5 linked regions of the Canis lupus familiaris genome follow. The protein of the gene in region 3 purifies or fractionates together with the protein of the main gene of each other region. This does not show direct contact. Links are inferred from orthologs where the notes say so. Each region holds a gene or a part of one and is shown on either strand. Other genes may lie near its edges. The genes, in order: RNMT, KPNB1, KPNA6, HDAC1 and CHD8.

Region 1 (4,149 bases), on a different chromosome or scaffold from region 3:
CATTATGAATAAAAAATAAATACATTCAACATACTTTTTGCTTTTCAGGAACATCCTCAAGTTCTATTTTTCTCTTCTTCTGTGTGCCATCTCCAGTAGAAGATTCATCTTTTGGAAAATCATCAGTTTCCATTCTTCTTTTCCTTGAAATGCCCTCATCATCACCAGAACCTTTTTCCTCTGGGACAATTTCAGCATCAAGTTTTCTTTTCTTGGTTGGAGTATCTTCCCCACAACTAGAACTTTCCTTTATAAGATCATCTTCAAATTCCATTTTTCTCTTTTTCGGTGCGTCTGCTTGTTCCCAGACAGGAGCCTTTTCAGAAAGTCCAGTCCCAGGAGTGGTTGTGTTTTCATTAATACTGAATGAAGACTTTGTTTCCAAATCTTTTGATGCTTTTGCCTCTTCGAGAGAGAGCTTTTCACACTCTTCTGCTTTTGCAGAATTTTCCATTTTTGATTACTTAAGTAGGTGGCAAAACTTCATGAACTAAGACTGGAATGGCAAAAATTTGATTTTACTCATACAAACACTAATGCCGAAAGTTTAAAACAATTTTAACCAGAAGCTAGCCATTTAATTCAGTAATCAGCTAGGAGTTTAAATAAATCTCATTACAGAGAGAATACTGAAATCATTAACTGATATATGTCACATATGAACCTCTGAATATTTTAATATGGAAATACTAATTATAATCCCTAAACATACGTATGATCTTACCCCTAAGTCATTACTGGCATTGAAACGGACAGATGAAGTAGGTCTTACACAAGCATTTGTTCCATTTCTGTTTGGATTCTTACTTTATAGCCTGAGTTCTCAAACTGTGAGCTGGACGCTGTGACAAACTTGTACAGGTACAGCAGGGTATTCTAAAAGTCTAAGCAACACAGCTTCACATAGAGCAGTTTCCACGGAGTAGAGAGCACTGCATTCCTTTCAATGACAGTAGCACTTGTGCGAAGCTGGTATTTTGGGGGATTCCACATGAAATCAATGTGAAACTGCAAACGAAGTTGGCAACGTCAAATCTGATCTCACAGCTTGAGAAACTGGACAGTACCCAACAGGGGTACACGTTCCACCAGGAAGCACTTAGGGCTAACTAAGAATTAGACACAAATACTATTTTTTCCTTTCAATTTGTGTATTAGTTTTTAGACAAGGTCGTTAAAACATAAATACTAAATTCTTTAGACTGAACTACTTACTAAGTGGAACTGCGGGGTGTTTCTTCTGGCCTAGTGACACTGAAATAAAAAAAAAAAGAAAGAAATCATAAACACTAAAGGTACCAGGAACAGGATAAGCCTGGGAACCGACGGTTGACTTCTGAAATGCTTACTTCATAGTGGGAGCCTGAATTAGAAAGTGAAGAGAGTAGAGATAGCTTTGGACAAGAGGTCTGGAAACCTGGTCTGCAACTTACTATTGAGTCTCCTTCAAATGCTCATGGGCCTGTGTGTAAAATGGAAGGGATGGAGGAGTAAGAGCTATGGGGCAGGGACTTACTAGGTTGTTCCATGATCCCACTGTCCTTCCTACTACAGAGGACCTCAGGGCACTGGGTGATTCGTGTCCATGAGGCTCACAGCCATGGGGTCTCGAGGGCTCGGTGCCTGCGGCCCACAGCATGACCCCAGGTCCCAGGATGGAGGCCGGCATTGAGCTCCCTGCAGGGAGCCTGTGTGTCCCTCTGCCTGGGTCTCTCCCTCTTTCTGTGTCTCTGCCTCTCTCTGTGTCTGTGTCTCCCTCTGCCTGTGTCTCTGCCTCTCTGTCTCCGTTGACCTGTGTCTCTGTGTCTCCCTCTGTGTCTCTGAGTCTCCGTCTGCCTGTCTCTGCCTGTCTGTGTCTCCCTCTGCCTGTATCTCTGCCTCTCTGTCTCCGTCTGTGTCTCTGTGTCTCCCTCTGCCTGTGTCTACCTGTCTCTGCGTGTCCCTCTGTGTCTCTGTCTCTGTGTCTCCGTCTGCCTGTCTCTGTCTCTCTGTGTCTCCCTCTGCCTGTGTCTCTGTCTCTCTGTCTCTGTCCCTCTCTGTGTCTACCTGTGTCTCTGTGTCTCTGCGTGTCCCTCTGCCTCTCGGTCTCCATCTACCTGTGTCTCTGCCTCTCTCATGAATGAATAAAATCTTAAGAAAAAAAAAAAAAAAAAAGCTTCACCCTAGACAGCAGTTTTAAGGCGTGAGGCTGTGTTATCGGAACCAAACGTAGAAGGGGGAGCCCGGAGCCCGAAGCCTGGGGAGATTCAGCAAATTCATGACCGGAACGTTACGGGGCTCCGGGCGGGAAGCGGCGGGCAGCGGGGGGCCCCGGGGATCGCAGCTGCGGGCCCGGGCGCAGGCGGCGAGGGCGACGCCACCAGCCGGGGAGAGCGGGGTCGGAGGAGCGCGCGAGGCGGAGGCGCCGTCTCCGGGAGCCGCGGCCGCAGCGACCCGAGCGGCCCGGGCTCCGCGACGCCCCGCGGCCCAGGGCGACCCCGTTGGGCCGAGCGGACGGCCGCCCGGAGCACCCCGAGGTCACGGGCCCGGCCTCGCGGGGCTGCACCTGCGCCGCCCCTCCCCCCCGCCGCCCGCCGCCCCCGGGCCCCGCCGCCCCCCGCCCGCCCCGGCCCGCCCCGTCCGCGTGCGAGGCCCGTCGCGAGAGTGAGGGGCCCCGGGGCCGCGGCGGCCGCGGGGCGGCTGGAAACAAAGAGCGGCCGTAGCGCCGGGCGCCGCACTCACTCACCCACGCAGGCGGCCACGGCTCTGTTTGCGGAAGCGGCCGGCCGCGCCGCGCGCGTGCTGTGACGCCACTTCCGGGGCGGGGTCGGCGCCGGGACGCCGCGGTCGCCGGCCGGTGGAGCGAGCGCCGCGCGAGCCTCGCGCCGGAACTACGAGTCCCGTGGTGCCGCGCGCGGGGCCTGGCGAGGGCGCGCGGTGCCGCATGGGCCGCCGCACGCACGCCGTTGGTGGGCGCGGCGGGAGGGCGGGCGGCCGCGGAGGCCGGGGAGGGCCGGCGAGGGGTGGCCCCGTGGCTTCCGGCGCCCTGACCCGCGCTCGACCGGGTCACTGTCCCGGTGACTCCGCCGCGGCTTCGGAGACCTGCCTTTCGGCCCGTGCGGCAGGACGGGACCCGGCGGGGCGTCAGCCTCCTGAGAGGTAGCCTGGGCCCCGGAGCGCCGACAGCTGCGGGAGGGGTCAGGCACCTGCCCGCGGGGCGCGCCCCCGCCGCCCCCGCCCCCGCCCCCCCTCCCCGGCCGGGGTCCGCCACGCGCGCCCCGCAGCCCCCGCCCTCGTCTGACCGAGCGGGGCCTGGGGGACTGGAGCCGGCTCCGGTCCGGGCCTCCCTCCGCTCTGCTCTCCGTCGGAGCACGGCTGCCGAGGGGCCGGGGAGCCGCGCCGTGGAGTCGTCCTCGAAGGCGGCGGGCCCTGGCTCGTCCCTGCGGCCTCCGGGGATGCCGGGGGATGCCGGGGGATGCCGGGGGATGCCGGGCACGGCCCGCGGGGACGGGACGGACCGCCTGACTCCGCACGTCCGCAGGCCTCCCGGGTCTCCCGGATCTCCGGGGTCTCCCAGGTCTCCTAGATCTCTCGGGGTCTCCCAAATCTCTTGGATCTCCCAGTCTCTTGGATCTCCCAGTTCGCCCTGATCTCCCAGGTCTCTCAGGTCTCCCAGATCTCCTAGGTCTCCTAGATCTCTCAGATCTCCCGGGATCTCCCTGATCTCCTAGATCTCCCGGGGTCTCCCAGGTCTCCTAGATCTCCCGGGTCTCCCAGATCTCCCAGATCTCCTAGATCTCCCAGGTCTCCTAGATCTCCCAGGTCGCCCAGATCTCCCAGGTCTCTCAGGTCTCCCAGATCTCCTAGGTCTCCTAGATCTCTCAGATCTCCCGGGGTCTCCCAGGTCTCCTAGATCTCCCGGGTCTCCCAGATCTCCCAGATCTCCTAGATCTCAGGTCTCCTGGGGTCTCCCAGGTCTCCCAGATCTCTTGGATCTCCCAGGTCTCCTAGATCTCCCAGGTCACGGAGGTCTCCCAGGTCTCCTAGATCTCCCAGGTCGCCCAGATCTCCTAGGTCTCTCAGGTCTCCCAGATCTCCAGATCTCTCAGGTCTCCCAGATCTCCTGGTCTCCTAGATCTCTCAGATCTGCCGGGATCTCCTAGATTTCCC
Region 2 (3,515 bases), on a different chromosome or scaffold from region 3:
CCCCATAATTTTAGTCCCATTTCCACAGAGCCATTCTAAAGTGTAACCGAGCCTGGAGATCCATAGTAAATAGAGCCATTGGCTCAGTAGTTGAAAATTTGGTTCCTGGTTGTATTGTGTTGCCAAACTCCAACCATATTTACAACCGTATTGGTTTCTGGATTCCTTATTTTCTGTGAGACAAGATTTACATCATAACAACTCTATTCTTTTTCAGGTAAGACTTTTAGATTGTTGTTGTGTGTTCTTTACAGACCTGATGGACACCAGAACAACCTGAGGAGTTCTGCATATGAATCTCTGATGGAAATTGTGAAAAACAGTGCCAAGGATTGTTATCCCGCGGTTCAGAAAACTACTCTGGTTATCATGGAGCGACTGCAGCAGGTGCTTCAGATGGAGGTGAGGCTGGTGTGAGGCTGGTATGGCGGGGGCATATGCTCTCTTGGTGGTATTGACGTTTACGTGGAAGTATGTATTTTTTCAGAAAGATAGAAGGCTTATACAAAATAATACCACTAAAAATCTGCTTTGCTCATCCCAATTTACTCCTACACGCTTCACACCATACACATATGTAAGTTTTTTATTTCCGACAAGCATCAGTAAAGATTATTTGATGGTCCTGGCAAACCCAGCAAAAACAGAAGCACTAAAGGAGTTTAGAACTCTTTTAGAGGGTGTTTATTCAGAATATGACAATGTTCTTTTCCTTGTAGTCCCACATCCAGAGCACATCCGACAGGATCCAATTCAATGACCTTCAGTCTTTGCTCTGTGCCACTCTTCAGGTATGACGGTGCTTTATCACTTACTGATGCTGATCAGAAACTCTTCTCAAAAGGTCTTCATCTGTGGTTGATTGGGAGAGAGATTTTTTATTTTCCTTTCTTCTTTGTCCATAAAGACAGACTTTGTCTTTTGCAGTAGGGAAGGCAACTACTTGGTTTGTGACAGTCCTCCCAGCTGTACAGCTATTTTGTGCTGGCAGCTTCTAGTCTTTGGTTTTTATTGGGTTGTCCAAATGTAGCCCAGTCAGATCTGATTTCCAGCTGCGGTTCACTCAGCTAAAAATATAGCCTTGAGTTTCTATCATCATATTCTGAAACAACAGTTCCTACTGGAAACTTTATTATAATTTAAATCCTTTATAGTACCTGTTGTTCAGAATAGACTTTTTTGAGGGGAGGCTGGAAAAACTAAAATCACTCCTCATTCATGACTGGACTCCTGGATGGAGTGACTGAGGTGCTGTTCCCCTTTTTACCAAAGATCAGGAAACCCTAGAACATGTCTATCGCTTAGGGGGATACTAGGTTTTAGTATTGAGTGATGCTAACTTGGTCATCTTCCCTGTACATCTCCTTTCTCTTTCTTACCCAAACGTAAAAAAAAAAAAAAAAAAAAAAAAAACAGTCTGTTTTTTTAATATCTTGACTGTTAAGATCTTTCCTTAGTCATCAAATACAGGAATGATCTGGTAACATTAGTTGAAACAAATTAAAGAGTAAGGAGGGAGGTGTGAGGAATATTGAATTAGGGGAATTCAGGTTGGCTTTACTTTACCAGAACTGTTTCTTGACCGTCATAAGTAAATAAGATACAGGAAGGATTGCTTTCTTGTTTTATGAGTAAGAACTATATAACCTGTCCTTCTTTAAAGCTGAAAGAAATTCAACTGCCTTTCCAAAAGACTACAATATGGAGACTGCTAATGGGTGTGTCAGACATAAATGAAATGGAGAAGAGATAGCTTTATGTACCATGGTAGATTATCTTGTCTTCATTCTGAATTGGGAAATAGAAGGGTATTAAAATGTATGTTTTGTTGCAGAAGATTTACACTGCGAAAGCTTTTGAGCACAAAAAGTGTGTTTGTTTGGCCCTTCCAAAAAAAAGTCACAGGGCTTAATTGATTTTTTAGAAAGGTATATATATATATAGCATTCTGATTGGAGGGTTTGGAATCAACAGATCCTGAACTCTTGTTCACTTCACAGAATGTTCTCCGGAAAGTACAACATCAAGATGCTTTGCAGATCTCTGATGTGGTCATGGCCTCCCTGTTGAGGATGTTCCAAAGCACAGCTGGGTCTGGGGGAGTGCAAGAGGATGCCCTAATGGCAGTTAGCACACTGGTGGAAGGTCAGTGAGCCAAAATTGGGCAGGGAATGTCTTTAGAATGTAAGAGTTTCCAGCAGCCATGGGGCACTTTTGATCACAGAAAGCATGGTCCCGTCTTCTCTTTTACTGAGGCATGACTTGAGGGCAAAATTGGATTGAATGTAAGTGTAAATTTATGCACAAGTGCCCTGCTGCTCTCCTTGAAATAAATGGAGAGCCAGCCGCAACTCAGATTGGCGAGTTTTTTGGGGAAAACAGTTATCATCTACCTCTTATTTGTTGGGTTCATTTTTCCTCTGAAAGTCTACTTGCTTTATTGAGATTTGGCTCCTTTCCAAGGATAGAGGAAACAAAGGTTTCTATTTTCTTCTTGGCACTTGGTACCTCCTGGTTTGGGTTATAATACTTTGAACTTCCATGTTGACACATCCTCATGCTCCATATGGGATGGAGTGAAAAACTGAGAGTTCTAAGAATTAACTGGTCTTCTGGTTGTTCTATGTTTGACTCTACAAAATCGCATTGGGGAATCCATGTCTGCTTAAGATTCTTTGAAGGGCCATTAGAAGCACATTAAAGAGCTCTTAAGAAACCTGAGATGCTTCTTCAGGGTTGGCCTGGATGGTGTATGACCAAAGCTATTACCTGAGGACCAGACCTATTTCTAGCATTAGGAGCATATGTTCAACTGAGAGTTGATCTGGCCACATGTAACTACCCTGATAGGGCACAGAAGTTCACTTTGGCTCCTGGAGTGGCTAATTGAGCAAAAAGTCCAGTCTGCTTTCCCTGGCTAGCTTGTTAAATAAATCCTTGATGGAATTGCCCAAGGATGGACCCTGTTTTAAAGCTGGCCGCCAGAGAAGACATGTTGCGTAAACAGATGAAGGAGGTAGCCAAAGAGGCAGTGTTATTAGCTCATCCAATTCAAAATTAACCCTTGAGAAAAAAAAAACCCTTGGTTGGCTGGTTGGGTTTAGCCAAAGTGAAATCCCACTCTAGAGATTTGGCATTATCTTCAGGACATAAGAGTTAGGCCTTTCTAGCACTTAGGAATTTGACTTGTCTGAGATAACCTGTCTTCATGATAGAATCCACAGTTAACTTACACTTCACCTGCCCAACCTGTTGAGTGGAATAAATATGTTTTGAGAGAGCAGGCATGGTTACTTTTGCTTACTTCTGTGATACCCTGTGATGCTAATAGTTTGTTTCTTTACAGTGTTGGGTGGTGAATTCCTAAAGTACATGGAGGCCTTTAAACCCTTCCTGGGCATTGGATTGAAAAATTATGCTGAGTACCAGGTAATCTATGCTTTTTAAAAGGATATTTATATTCTTTATATTCTTATTTATTCCTGATAACTACCTCATGGTTCAAAGTCCAGGTA
Region 3 (3,515 bases):
TGTTAAGAAACTCTCTCACCTTTGCAAACTCTGGGGGTGGGTTCTTTCCTCTGCAGAGGTTTGATAGAGCCCAGACTGCATTCCGTGTCATTGTCAGTCTTGTGGACTTAGTAAGGAGTCTGAAGGAAACAGCAAAGCCAGACAGATCCTGAGCAATGATGACCTTGGCATGGGGCTGTCACCTATGAACCCCAGGAGCAAATCCAGTAAGACCCCTAAGACTCTGGCAGCCTCACTGTGTTCTTCTACCCACAGACCTAAGTAAACTAAGCTTGTTTGGGCCAAGAGGCCAATCTACACCTTCACAGAGGATTAGAACCAGCTGTGGCTAGTTAGGACCATAGCTTGTAAGGACAAAGAGCAAGCTGGAAGTTGAGTAAGACTGCAAACCTTTTTAAGATAGGGCATATTGTGCTCCTAAATGGCCACAAGTTTTTTTTTTTTTTTTTTTTTTTTTTAATGTTTATTTATTTATGATAGTCACAGAGAGAGAAAGAGAGAGAGGCAGAGACACAGACAGAGGGAGAAGCAGGCTCCATGCACCGGAAGCCCGACGTGGGATTCGATCCCGGGTCTCCAGGATCGTGCCCTGGGCCAAAGGCAGGCGCCAAACCGCTGCGCCACCCAGGGATCCCCCTAAATGGCCACAAGTTTTAAACGACGAGTATACTGTTCTCTTTGGAAATCAATGCTGAATATCTAGTATAAGGGCTTTAGCCATGCAGTAAGCAATGACTTTCTGTGAAAGGCCCAAGAAAGAGTTATAGTGGTAGTCTCTGAAGAACAGCTCATCCCTGGGCAGCCCTGGTGGCGCAGCGGTTTAGCGCCCCCTGCAGCCCGGAGTATGATCCTGGAGACCCTGGATCGAGTCCCACATCGGGCTTCCTGCATGGAGCCTGCTACTCCCTCTGCCTGTGTCTCTGCCTCTCTCTCGCTCTCTCTTAATGAATAAATAAATAAATCTTAAAAAAAAAAAAAAAGAACAGCTTATCCCATCTATTGTTTAGATACTCTATTTGAAGGGTATGGGAGGGAGGGATTGGAGAAGGATCCCTATGTCTTTTTTTTTTTTTTTTTTAATGATAGTCACAGAGAGAGAGAGGCAGAGACATAGGCAGAGGGAGAAGCAGGCTCCATGCACCAGGAGCCCGATGTGGGATTCGATCCCGGGTCTCCAGGACCGTGCCCTGGGCCAAAGGCAGGCGCTAAACCGCTGCGCCACCCAGGGATCCCCCTATGTCCTTTCATGGTGTCTTTAATCTGTGGTTTACAACAGAGCTCTCCAATGTACCTAGGCATAAAATAACAAATTAATGCATCTGTAGAGAAAGTTGCATTTTTCTATATGGGTTAGTCTTGCCTCTCTCTCCTGGCTCAACAATGAGGCAAGTAAGTATGACCAACATGAGAATCTACTGTGCAATGAAGAAAGGAAACAGAAGCTCCTCCTTGGCACAGACCAGTGGCACAATCTTCTTACTCTCAAAAAGAAATACTTTTAGTGTTTTTTTGCATTTACTTAACATCTTAAGGTAAGCTGCCCCCAAAGGATCTACCACATGGCTGCCTTATAGATGATGTCCCAGGTATAGATGATCATAATTACTCACGTTAACAAAGGATTAAGGATGGAACAGTTCAAGACGTAATCTCGGCAAACGGAGCTGTCTCCAGCTATGTTTCCCAGTGCCCAGACTGCCTGAAAAGGGGATGATGGAACTGTCATGCAGAGACAAATGGCTTCTGTCCATATTTTATACAAGAGTGAGGACACACCAATAACTTAGACAAAAACCATATCGAGGCCTGAGATATCCTGAACAGGATCAGGTCCTCTCTTTGCTGACGTCCTTACTGAGCTTGCTCTATGAAGGTCTTTCCTCGGAGAATTTCTGATTTAGTGGGAAAGACAGGCTGACATCCGTACTGCAGCCAAAGAAGCCAAACCAAGACCTCCCTATGCCTACTTCCCAGAAAAAAGAGAAAGTGAGAAGTTGCATTCCTGCAGCCTCACAGGATCTATCCTATATGTAGTAAGTGAGGAAAAAAAAAAAATCTAGGCGCCACGTTCTACATTCTATCCAATCAGTAAAAATCCACTGGAAGAAATTAAGTTGTCTTAATCACTGTGATATCTAGGTACTGATAAATGGGTACTGTGATGTTTTTGTTTTTTTCCCCCCAATACCACCTCTGATGCCAAATATGTGGAGTTTTTTTCTACACCAGCAATCAATTCTCCAACACCATTTGTATGTCCAACAATCCAACTCAATTGTGACACTCTTAGACTTAGTGCAGACCCTACAGGTTAAGGGCTCAGGCCCATGAGACTGTCTCCACTTCAGACACCAGTTGCAAAAAAAACAAAAAACAAACAAACAAAAAAAGACACCAGTTGCAATTCCCAAGTGTTGCCATGCTTCTGACCAACTGGCTATAAATTCAAAAGTTCCCATAATTCCCTTCTTAGGTTCAGTAATTCACTAGAATGATTCACAGAACTCAGGGAAAAACTGCTTACATTTACTAGCTTACTCTAATGGATACAGCTCAGAAGAGCTAAATGGAAGAGATGCATAGGGCAAGGTATGGGGTGAGCAGTCAGGGCGGTATGGAACTTCCATCCCCTCTCTAGGGCACCACACCAATGTGTTCACCAACCCAGAATTTCTCTGCAGGAGGCTGGGATAGAGGCATTGGTAGAGCTGGGAGTTCTGATAACTACTCTCCTCATGTTGAGGTTGCCTAGGGGCCCCACTCAATCATCTCATTAGGTGTGTTCCATCATAAATAATAAAAAACACACTCTTCACTCAGAAAATTCCAAGGTTTTTAGTAGTTTTTAGGAACTGGGTACAAAAACCAAACTTTTTAAAATTATAATATAGGTACCATCAGGAATTAAGCCAAATTTGGGCGTTACCTGTTCCTGTACATCCTCAAAGTCCGAGTTAAGCAGCTCTATAAAAATGGGGACTGCCCCTGCTTCAATGACAATCTTCGTCTGCTGAGAGGTTCCAGAGGCAATGTTCGTTAGAGCCCAGGCAGCTTCAAACTGCAAGTGAGATCAGACCGCTATTCAGAGATCATTCCAGAGTGGCCATGTCTGCAGCTGGTTGAGAGCTGTAAGCCTCTTGCCCCTGACCAAAAAACTAAAATATGAGCCTTTTCCTCTTCCCCCTTATTTTTATCTTAAGTAGCCTCCATATCCAGCATGGAGCCTAATGCAGGGCTTGAACTTACGACTCTGAGATCAAGACCTGAGTTGAGACAGAGTTGGATTCTCAAATGACTGAGCCACCACACAGGAACTACTTCCTCTTACTTTTTAAATAGCAAAAAGCAGGGGCACCTGGCTGGTTTCAGTCAGTGGAGCATGCAATTCTTGATCTTGGGGTTGTGAGTAATCACTACACTTAAGTGATTACTTACAAATAAAAATCTTTATTTAAAAACAAATTTTTAAAAAAAGGGATGCCTGGGATGCTCAGTGGTTAAGCACCTGCCTTTGC
Region 4 (2,541 bases), about 140 kb from region 3:
TGGGCTGGGGAGGACACTGCCCCTGTCTAGGTTTTTATAAATGTCTTACTCAAGTTCAAACCTCCAGCTTGTGAATCGACTGTGTCTCTTTTTTGACTTGGTAAGCAAGTATTAGGCTTTGGGGTGGGGGGGAGGTCTGTAATGTGAAACAACTTCTTGTTGTCTTTTTTTTTCCCCCTCCCATTGTTGTAAATAACTTTTAATGGCCAAACCCCAGATTTGTACTTTTTTTTTTTTTTCTAACTGCTAAAACCATTCTCTTCCACCTGGTTTTACTGTAACATTTGGAAAAGGAATAAATGTCGTCCCTTTAGTAGTGCTTTTTAATGAGTGGTCTTCTGGGGGTAGGGTGAGAAGATCGGTTAACCTCAACCCTTGTGGGAGGGATTAGGGTGAAGGTTAAGTTTGTGGGGTTGTTTCCTTGTTCATGGAGTTGCCCAGATTCTCCTGGACACGAGAAGGGCAGGGAAGTGGAGTTGAAATCAACCCAGGGATACTGCTAGGAGACAAGCTCAGGAGGATGTAGAAATGTACCATTTTATTACAAAGATTCTCATGAAAATGAAAATAGTATCTCAAAAAAGGATACCTGACTTATCAATCTCCACCTGCAGAACTGGGCAAGGATAGAGGGCAGGCAGTGAGTTCCTTGGCTCACATGGGGCCAGTGGGAAGGTATGATAAGAGAACCAATCTAAAAATGGCTGATGTTACCTTAAGGAGCCTGATGGGAGGGTCCCAGAAGACCCAGCCACTCCTAGAATGCTCAATGAGGGCACCTTTCCAAAGCTACGAAGCAGGCACTTGGCATTTCTGGATTTTGTCCTATGGCTGCTTAAAAGCATGCCTTCCAGAACCGGTACCCTTTATGGTTCAAAATTAAGAACTGGGGAAGGATGGGTGGCGAGGCAGCCACTAGAAAAGCTCACTCATAATGTGTGCCCTAGGCTCAGGGCCCTGGTTCCTGTCTAGTCCCTGGGGATATTTATATTTAATATATTTTTATATAAATACACAGAGAAATAGAAAATATAAAATCTGAGGGGTTGTGGGAGAAAGGTGGGGAACTTGGCAGGAAACCAGAACTGGAGAGGTCTGCTCAGGCCAACTTGACCTCCTCCTTGACCCTGTGGAGAGAGCAGAGACTGGCATGAGATAACGTGCCCCAGAGGCCTGGAGGCAAAAATACGGGGACAATGACTTCTATAGGACCCCAGCTGCCCAGGTGACTGCCGAGGGCTGGGGCTTCCTAGCTCTGCCTAGAACTGCAGAGACAGACAGACTGGTCCCTGAAAGAGGTCTTTGTAAGCTGCACCAGCTGTCCCTGCGCCTCCCTCGGCAGGGCGGACAAAGGGGCTGGTGCTCCAATGCCAGGGAGATGGCCGACAGCTCCTTCCTCACCCTTTGGCTTCTTGCTTCTCCTCCTTGGTTTTCTCCTCTTCTGTGACTTCTAGAACATAAGAGTGCAGGGATGGCCAAGGCTCCCCTCCAGAAAGACCCATGGAATCTTCACTTAGGCTGAACCCCCTTCCCCAACACAGCTCACTGGACATACAAAAGAGAAAAGCCCATCCCAGGCCCTCCCCCTTGAGCCCTGCAGAGAACAAACAGGTTGGACCGGTTTCCCAGCCTGCTAGTGCCTGAACCCGGTGGGCGGGGGCAGCCCCCTGGGAACCTGGGGTGAAGCACTGGGAAAGGGGCTTGGGTGGTGTGTGAGAGCCACACTCCTGACCATGGGGAGACTAGGCATGTCCCTGGCTCTGGAGCCTGGCAGGGCTCAACCGGCCAGTGCAGATAACAAATTGAATTTCATTCTTTTGTGGGTCCTGCTGTTTCTGGGGGTGGAGGCAGAACCCCAACAGAAGGCAGGGCCTGAGTCAGCTCCCTCCTAGAGCCCTACATACATTCATCCTCCTCTGGGGCCTGGGGCTCAAGACCCAAGTCTGGGCATGACCCAAACCCACCTTTCTTCTCTTCTGGGTCTTTCTCTTTTTCGTCCTCAGTTTTGACTCTCTTGGCTTTTTTGAAGTTGGAAGAGTTCTTACGACCACCTTCTCCCTCCTCATCAGAGTCCGAGAACTCTTCCTCACAGGCAATTCGTTTGTCAGATGAACAGACTGGGAGGCAATGGGAAATGTAAGTGAGACAGCAGGAGATCAGCTTTACCTCAAGGTCTGTGCCCAGTGCTTCCCTGTGTGTCCTCCAAGAGACACCAAGGGAAGGGGGTGACTAAGAAGAGGGGAAGGAAACTCAGACTCCCTAAATTGTCCCAAGAACTAGAACATGGGTTTCTCAACAGATGAGTAGCTTAGGAGGAACATGGAACCAAGAACAGGGGTGGGAAGCCAGAGCTACCTACTGAACGGGAAGGTACCGCCCCCGGATCTGGGTCTTACTAGAGATGCGCTTGTCAGGGTCTTCTTCGTCCTCGTCGCCACTCTCCTCTGGAATGGCATCCTCAGGAATCACCTGCATTTGGACCCCAGGTGCGTGGGGCAGCATTCTCAGGTTCTCAAACAGTCGCTGTCTATGGCCAATGGT
Region 5 (4,150 bases), on a different chromosome or scaffold from region 3:
TAAAATCTTAAAAAAAAAAAAAAAAAAAAGCCTCAACAGGGGATCCCTGGGTGGCGCAGTGGTTTAGCACCTGCCTTTGGCCCGGGGCGTGATCCTGGAGACCCGGAATCAAATCCCACGTCGGGCTCCCGGTGCATGGAGCCTGCTTCTCCCTCTGCCTGTGTTTCTGCCTCTCTCTCTCTCTGTGACTATCATAAATAAATAAAAAATTAAAAAAAAAAAAAAAAAGCCTCAACAGGGATGCCTGGGTGGCTCAGCAGGTTGAGCATCTGCCTTTGGCTCAGGGGGTGATCCTGGACTCCCCAGATCAAGTCCCACTTTGGGCTCCCTGCACGGAGGCTGCTTCTCCCTCTGCCTGTATCTCTGCCTCATTCTCTGTGTCTCTCATGAGTAAATAAATAAAATCTTAAAAAAAAAGAAAAGAAAAAAAGAAGAAGCTTCAGTTAGAAGCAAAAAAAAGCCCCAATAGTAGTGAATTAAAAACAAAAAGTAAAGGGCACAAAATTGTAACAGGAGGATGAAAGGAAGACCACCAACTTTGTGAGGAAAAAGAATAAAAAATTAATTGAAAAAAATATATATAAAGTTAAGCCAAGAAAAATGAGAAATGATGCTATATTATTGAATCGACTGCTAATGGTAAAACAGTAAATACTAGGTCCGTCACAGTCGTGCAAGGCAGGTCATGCAAAGACCTGCAGATCCGGGACTTGCCCAAATGCAGGTTCAGAAGTGGCGTGACCCTTAGGGTTAAGGATGCGGGGCCAGAAAATATCTGAGTTGTTTATCCTCCAGGTATCAGGTCAATGCAGGCTCAGAAGACAGCTGGACTCTTGCAGGGCGGTGGACAAACAGTATCTTGGAAGCATTAACGATCATCTCTGTGTTCTACAAACGTTACGGTCCTTCCACAGATGATAATATCAAATCTCATTCTTTCAGTAAACAAGTGTAGTTCTCCGCACCCACACAGTAATCTTAAGTGGTAGTTTAGCTTAAAACAAAACAAAACAAAACAAAAAAAACTCCCCCTCGTCAAAAGAGATGGGTACAACAGTCTCTTTTAAAGACTGACTCGCCTCACCATCCTACCTTGACTACGGGGCAACTATCCTACCTGTCAGACCCCTCATATTAAGTGTCAAAGCTCTTTCCTCTTCTAACCAAACCCCTGCAATGGTGGTGACCACAAAGCCGAGATTTCCCCACCCAGTCATCTGCTGGCGCTGCAGAGGCTATCCCAGAAAATACATCTACGTTTCCTGGCGATTCACAGCAACTCAAATTGCTTTCCATTTCTAGCCTTTTCTATCCACGTCTAAATAAGTGGATTCTGTCAATTTGGGAACGGACAAAATCAAAAGGCCAGATGCACAGGTCGGACCACACCTGCGGGAGGTGTGAGTTGTGCAAGTACCCACATGCTATTCCATCGAATCCCTGCTCCGGTGTTACACCTTCCCCGGGGCCTGATGCACCGCACACGCCTACCCTCTCTTTGGCCCGCGGCCTTCCTCATGCCTTGCCCCTCTTGGTCTCCTTATACAGAATAATGTTTTCTTTAGGAACCCGTTTTAAAGGAGGTGGGATGAGTCCAAAACACCACGATTTTCTTGGAAGCCTGTTTGGTGAGCCCTACCAACGAAATTCCCGGGCAGAAGACGGTAGCTCATTAACTGACAGAGCCCTCCGGCGTCTCGAGGGTCCCGAACCGGACAGGCCAGGGAATCCCTACCTGAGCTGACAGGCCCGGAGCAACAGAGGAGAGCGATCGTGTGTGGATGCCGGTTGTGAGGGGAGGATGCAGGAGAGCCTGGCCGCGCTGGGGTCTGGAGCCCTGCGCCAGGACGCCTCATGGAGCTCCAGGTCTCCGACTCCCAGCTCCCTACGCTCAGTCGCTGGGAGAAACGGCCGACCCGCTGGACATGCATGCACCTGCCTTGCACTCCTCGGAAGACCTTCCTCCCTTCGCGACCGCCGCTTAAAGGCAAGAGCTGCTGCTGCTGCTGCTGCTGCTGCTGAGGCTGCAATGGCTGGAAAATTCTCTGTGACACTAGACACAGGTAAACGAAGGGCCGGCATCCGCTCCGAGGCAGGGGGAGGGGTCTCCGGCCCGGGAAGAGTTTACATAACGCCAGGCCGGGCCCCGCGGGCTCTGCGGACCTGTCAACGGAGACGCGAGGCCTGAGCGGCCCTGTCGCCGCCGCCTCTCCACACGCACCCCCGCGGTGCTCGCACCCGGTAACCGGCAACGAAGGCGCCGGCCCGCCCCGAGCTTTCCGACCCACCTCCATCGTCGGAACAAAACCAACAAACAAGAGAGAGAGAGAAAAAAAAAAAAGAAAAAGAAAGAAACGAAAAAAAAAAAAAAAGCCACCACAACCACCCTGACCTCCCACTTCTGGGTCCAAAGCGCGGTGACCCGGGAGCCGGGGGGTCTCGTCGCCGCCGCCAGCGCGCACCACGCCCGGGACGCGCTGACAGGCCCCGGCGCCCCCCGGCCCCTCACAAAGAGAAGGGGGCGGCCCGGAGCAGCCCCCTGCGCCTGACCCCTCACGCCCCGGCGGCGCGGGGAGCGGGGAGCGCGGCGCGGGCGGGCCGGGGGCTCCCAGGGGCCCGCCCCGGGCGCCGCGGCCGCGCAGGGGCCCCCGGCGCAGCGCTGACGAGCCGGCGCGAGCAGGAGCCCTACCTGAGCCAGTCCTGCAGCGTCCCTGCCAGCCAGCGCTTCCCCTCACCGCGTCGGAGAACAAGGCGCCTTCCGGCGGAGCATGGCCAGCCCTCGCCTCAACCTAGCTTGCTGGCAGTCCGTACGCCGCAGGCCTCGCCCACCTCCGGGCCGCCTGCCAATGGCAGGGCCGGCCCCGCCCCCCAGCAAGGTAGTGTGAGCGCCATCCCGGAAGTCCCCGGAGGCGGGGAGGTCCTGCAGGGCCTAGAGGGGTACGTAGGCAACCACGGATGTGCCTGAGTGGAAATAAGATCTGGCGGCCGCGGGCCCTGCTGCTCGGCTCGCGGGCGTGCGGGCCCCCGCCAGCTGCGCCCCCGCCCGCCACCGCTGGGGGCGCTGCGGGCCGCGCGGCCTGGCCCCGAGCGGGGGCGGCCATCTTGGGTCGGGCCGCGGGGACGCGGAAGCCGGGGCGGGCCGAGCCGACGTGCTTTGTGCGGTCCGGCCGGGCGGTCGGGAGCGGGGCCCGGTGCGGTCGGCGGCGGCCCCCCCACCGTGGGAGGGAGGAGACCCACGCGTCACGGCAGCACTAAAAACAGTATTTATTTATTTATTTATTTTGGAATGCGAACGGGTTCCCGCGCAGCCACAGGGTGACCCTCCGTGCCCCCGCCGCCCCGGGGCCCGCTGGGGGCACTTCCGGCCCGCGGAGCCCCAGGTCACGTGGGGGATGGCGCGGGCGGGGCCGCGGTCGAGGCAGCGCGCCCCGCGGCCCGGGAGCCCCGGCCACCAGCTTGGGTGGAGGGAGCACCGACCGTGTCTAGTTTGCGTCTTCGGCCCGAACGAGGCCCGCCGCAGGAAGCCGCGGTGGGCGATAGGGGAGGGGACGGCCTGCCCAGGAGGCCTCCGCCCGCGGAGACCTGTAAGTACCGGGCTGCACGGCTCGCCCCGAGCGGGACCCCAGCGGCCCCACCTCCTCCTTTTCCAAGTTTTCCCAAGGTGGGGCCTGAACTCAGGACCCCGAGATCAACAGTCCGTTTCCCGGGACCCCGGGGTCCCGAGATCGAGTCCCGCGTCGGGCCCCCTGCGTGGAGCCTGCTTCTCCTTCCGCCTTTGTCTCTGCCTTTCTCTGTGTGTCTCTCATGAACAAATAAATAAATAAAATATATTCTTAAAAAAAGAGTACCTTTCTCTATCACCTGAGCCGGACGTGTGCCCCGGTGCTGGCCTTTGACAGCCAAGCATGCCCTCATCAGACCTCCCCTTCTTCACACGGGCTGGGGAATCTACTTCCTATCATGTTTCATGACCATGACCGTGTCTCTGATCACCAGCAACGATCAATAGAGGTCATGAATTTGCCCAAGTAACTTTCCTCATGCTTCCCTTACATGGATGAAATACCCAAGTATAGAAGGTTAGGAGTGTTCTGGGGTTCTTTTAAGTTTAAATTTTTTTTTTTTTTTTTAAGTAATCTCGGCACCCAAC

Evidence for each region.
Region 1: the proteins of KPNA6 (region 3) and RNMT purify together in Homo sapiens (co-immunoprecipitation; 3 studies listed by BioGRID and IntAct, counting the BioPlex papers as one, with this or other methods). This does not show direct contact. The link is inferred for Canis lupus familiaris from reciprocal best matches to the Homo sapiens genes KPNA6 and RNMT.
Region 2: the proteins of KPNA6 (region 3) and KPNB1 purify together in Homo sapiens (affinity purification with mass spectrometry; 4 studies listed by BioGRID and IntAct, with this or other methods). This does not show direct contact. The link is inferred for Canis lupus familiaris from reciprocal best matches to the Homo sapiens genes KPNA6 and KPNB1.
Region 4: the proteins of KPNA6 (region 3) and HDAC1 purify together in Homo sapiens (affinity purification with mass spectrometry; 3 studies listed by BioGRID and IntAct, with this or other methods). This does not show direct contact. The link is inferred for Canis lupus familiaris from reciprocal best matches to the Homo sapiens genes KPNA6 and HDAC1.
Region 5: the proteins of KPNA6 (region 3) and CHD8 purify together in Homo sapiens (affinity purification with mass spectrometry; 4 studies listed by BioGRID and IntAct, with this or other methods). This does not show direct contact. The link is inferred for Canis lupus familiaris from reciprocal best matches to the Homo sapiens genes KPNA6 and CHD8.

The regions. Positions count from the first base shown.
Region 1 is NC_049222.1:24,608,171-24,612,319, forward strand, and holds the start of RNMT (mRNA cap guanine-N7 methyltransferase), read right to left. Parts: upstream 2,811-4,149; 5' UTR 2,726-2,810; intron 2,349-2,725; exon of another isoform or gene 2,162-2,348; intron 1,721-2,161; exon of another isoform or gene 1,517-1,720; intron 1,255-1,516; 5' UTR 1,216-1,254; intron 497-1,215; 5' UTR 455-496; coding exon 35-454; intron 1-34. UniProt on the Homo sapiens protein: Catalytic subunit of the mRNA-capping methyltransferase RNMT:RAMAC complex that methylates the N7 position of the added guanosine to the 5'-cap structure of mRNAs. Binds RNA containing 5'-terminal GpppC.
Region 2 is NC_049230.1:23,971,768-23,975,282, forward strand, and holds part of KPNB1 (importin subunit beta-1), read left to right. Parts: intron 1-254; coding exon 255-402; intron 403-719; coding exon 720-791; intron 792-2,000; coding exon 2,001-2,145; intron 2,146-3,346; coding exon 3,347-3,429; intron 3,430-3,515.
Region 3 is NC_049223.1:68,434,548-68,438,062, forward strand, and holds part of KPNA6 (importin subunit alpha-7), read right to left. Parts: intron 3,059-3,515; coding exon 2,927-3,058; intron 1,700-2,926; coding exon 1,611-1,699; intron 120-1,610; coding exon 20-119; intron 1-19. UniProt on the Homo sapiens protein: Functions in nuclear protein import as an adapter protein for nuclear receptor KPNB1. Binds specifically and directly to substrates containing either a simple or bipartite NLS motif.
Region 4 is NC_049223.1:68,298,496-68,301,036, forward strand, and holds the end of HDAC1 (histone deacetylase 1), read right to left. Parts: intron 2,528-2,541; coding exon 2,397-2,527; intron 2,118-2,396; coding exon 1,965-2,117; intron 1,451-1,964; coding exon 1,402-1,450; intron 1,128-1,401; coding exon 1,100-1,127; 3' UTR 513-1,099; downstream 1-512. UniProt on the Homo sapiens protein: Histone deacetylase that catalyzes the deacetylation of lysine residues on the N-terminal part of the core histones (H2A, H2B, H3 and H4).
Region 5 is NC_049236.1:18,615,709-18,619,858, forward strand, and holds the start of CHD8 (chromodomain-helicase-DNA-binding protein 8), read right to left. Parts: upstream 2,810-4,150; 5' UTR 2,690-2,809; intron 2,164-2,689; exon of another isoform or gene 1,932-2,163; coding exon of another isoform or gene 1,736-1,931; intron 1-1,735. UniProt on the Homo sapiens protein: ATP-dependent chromatin-remodeling factor, it slides nucleosomes along DNA; nucleosome sliding requires ATP. Acts as a transcription repressor by remodeling chromatin structure and recruiting histone H1 to target genes.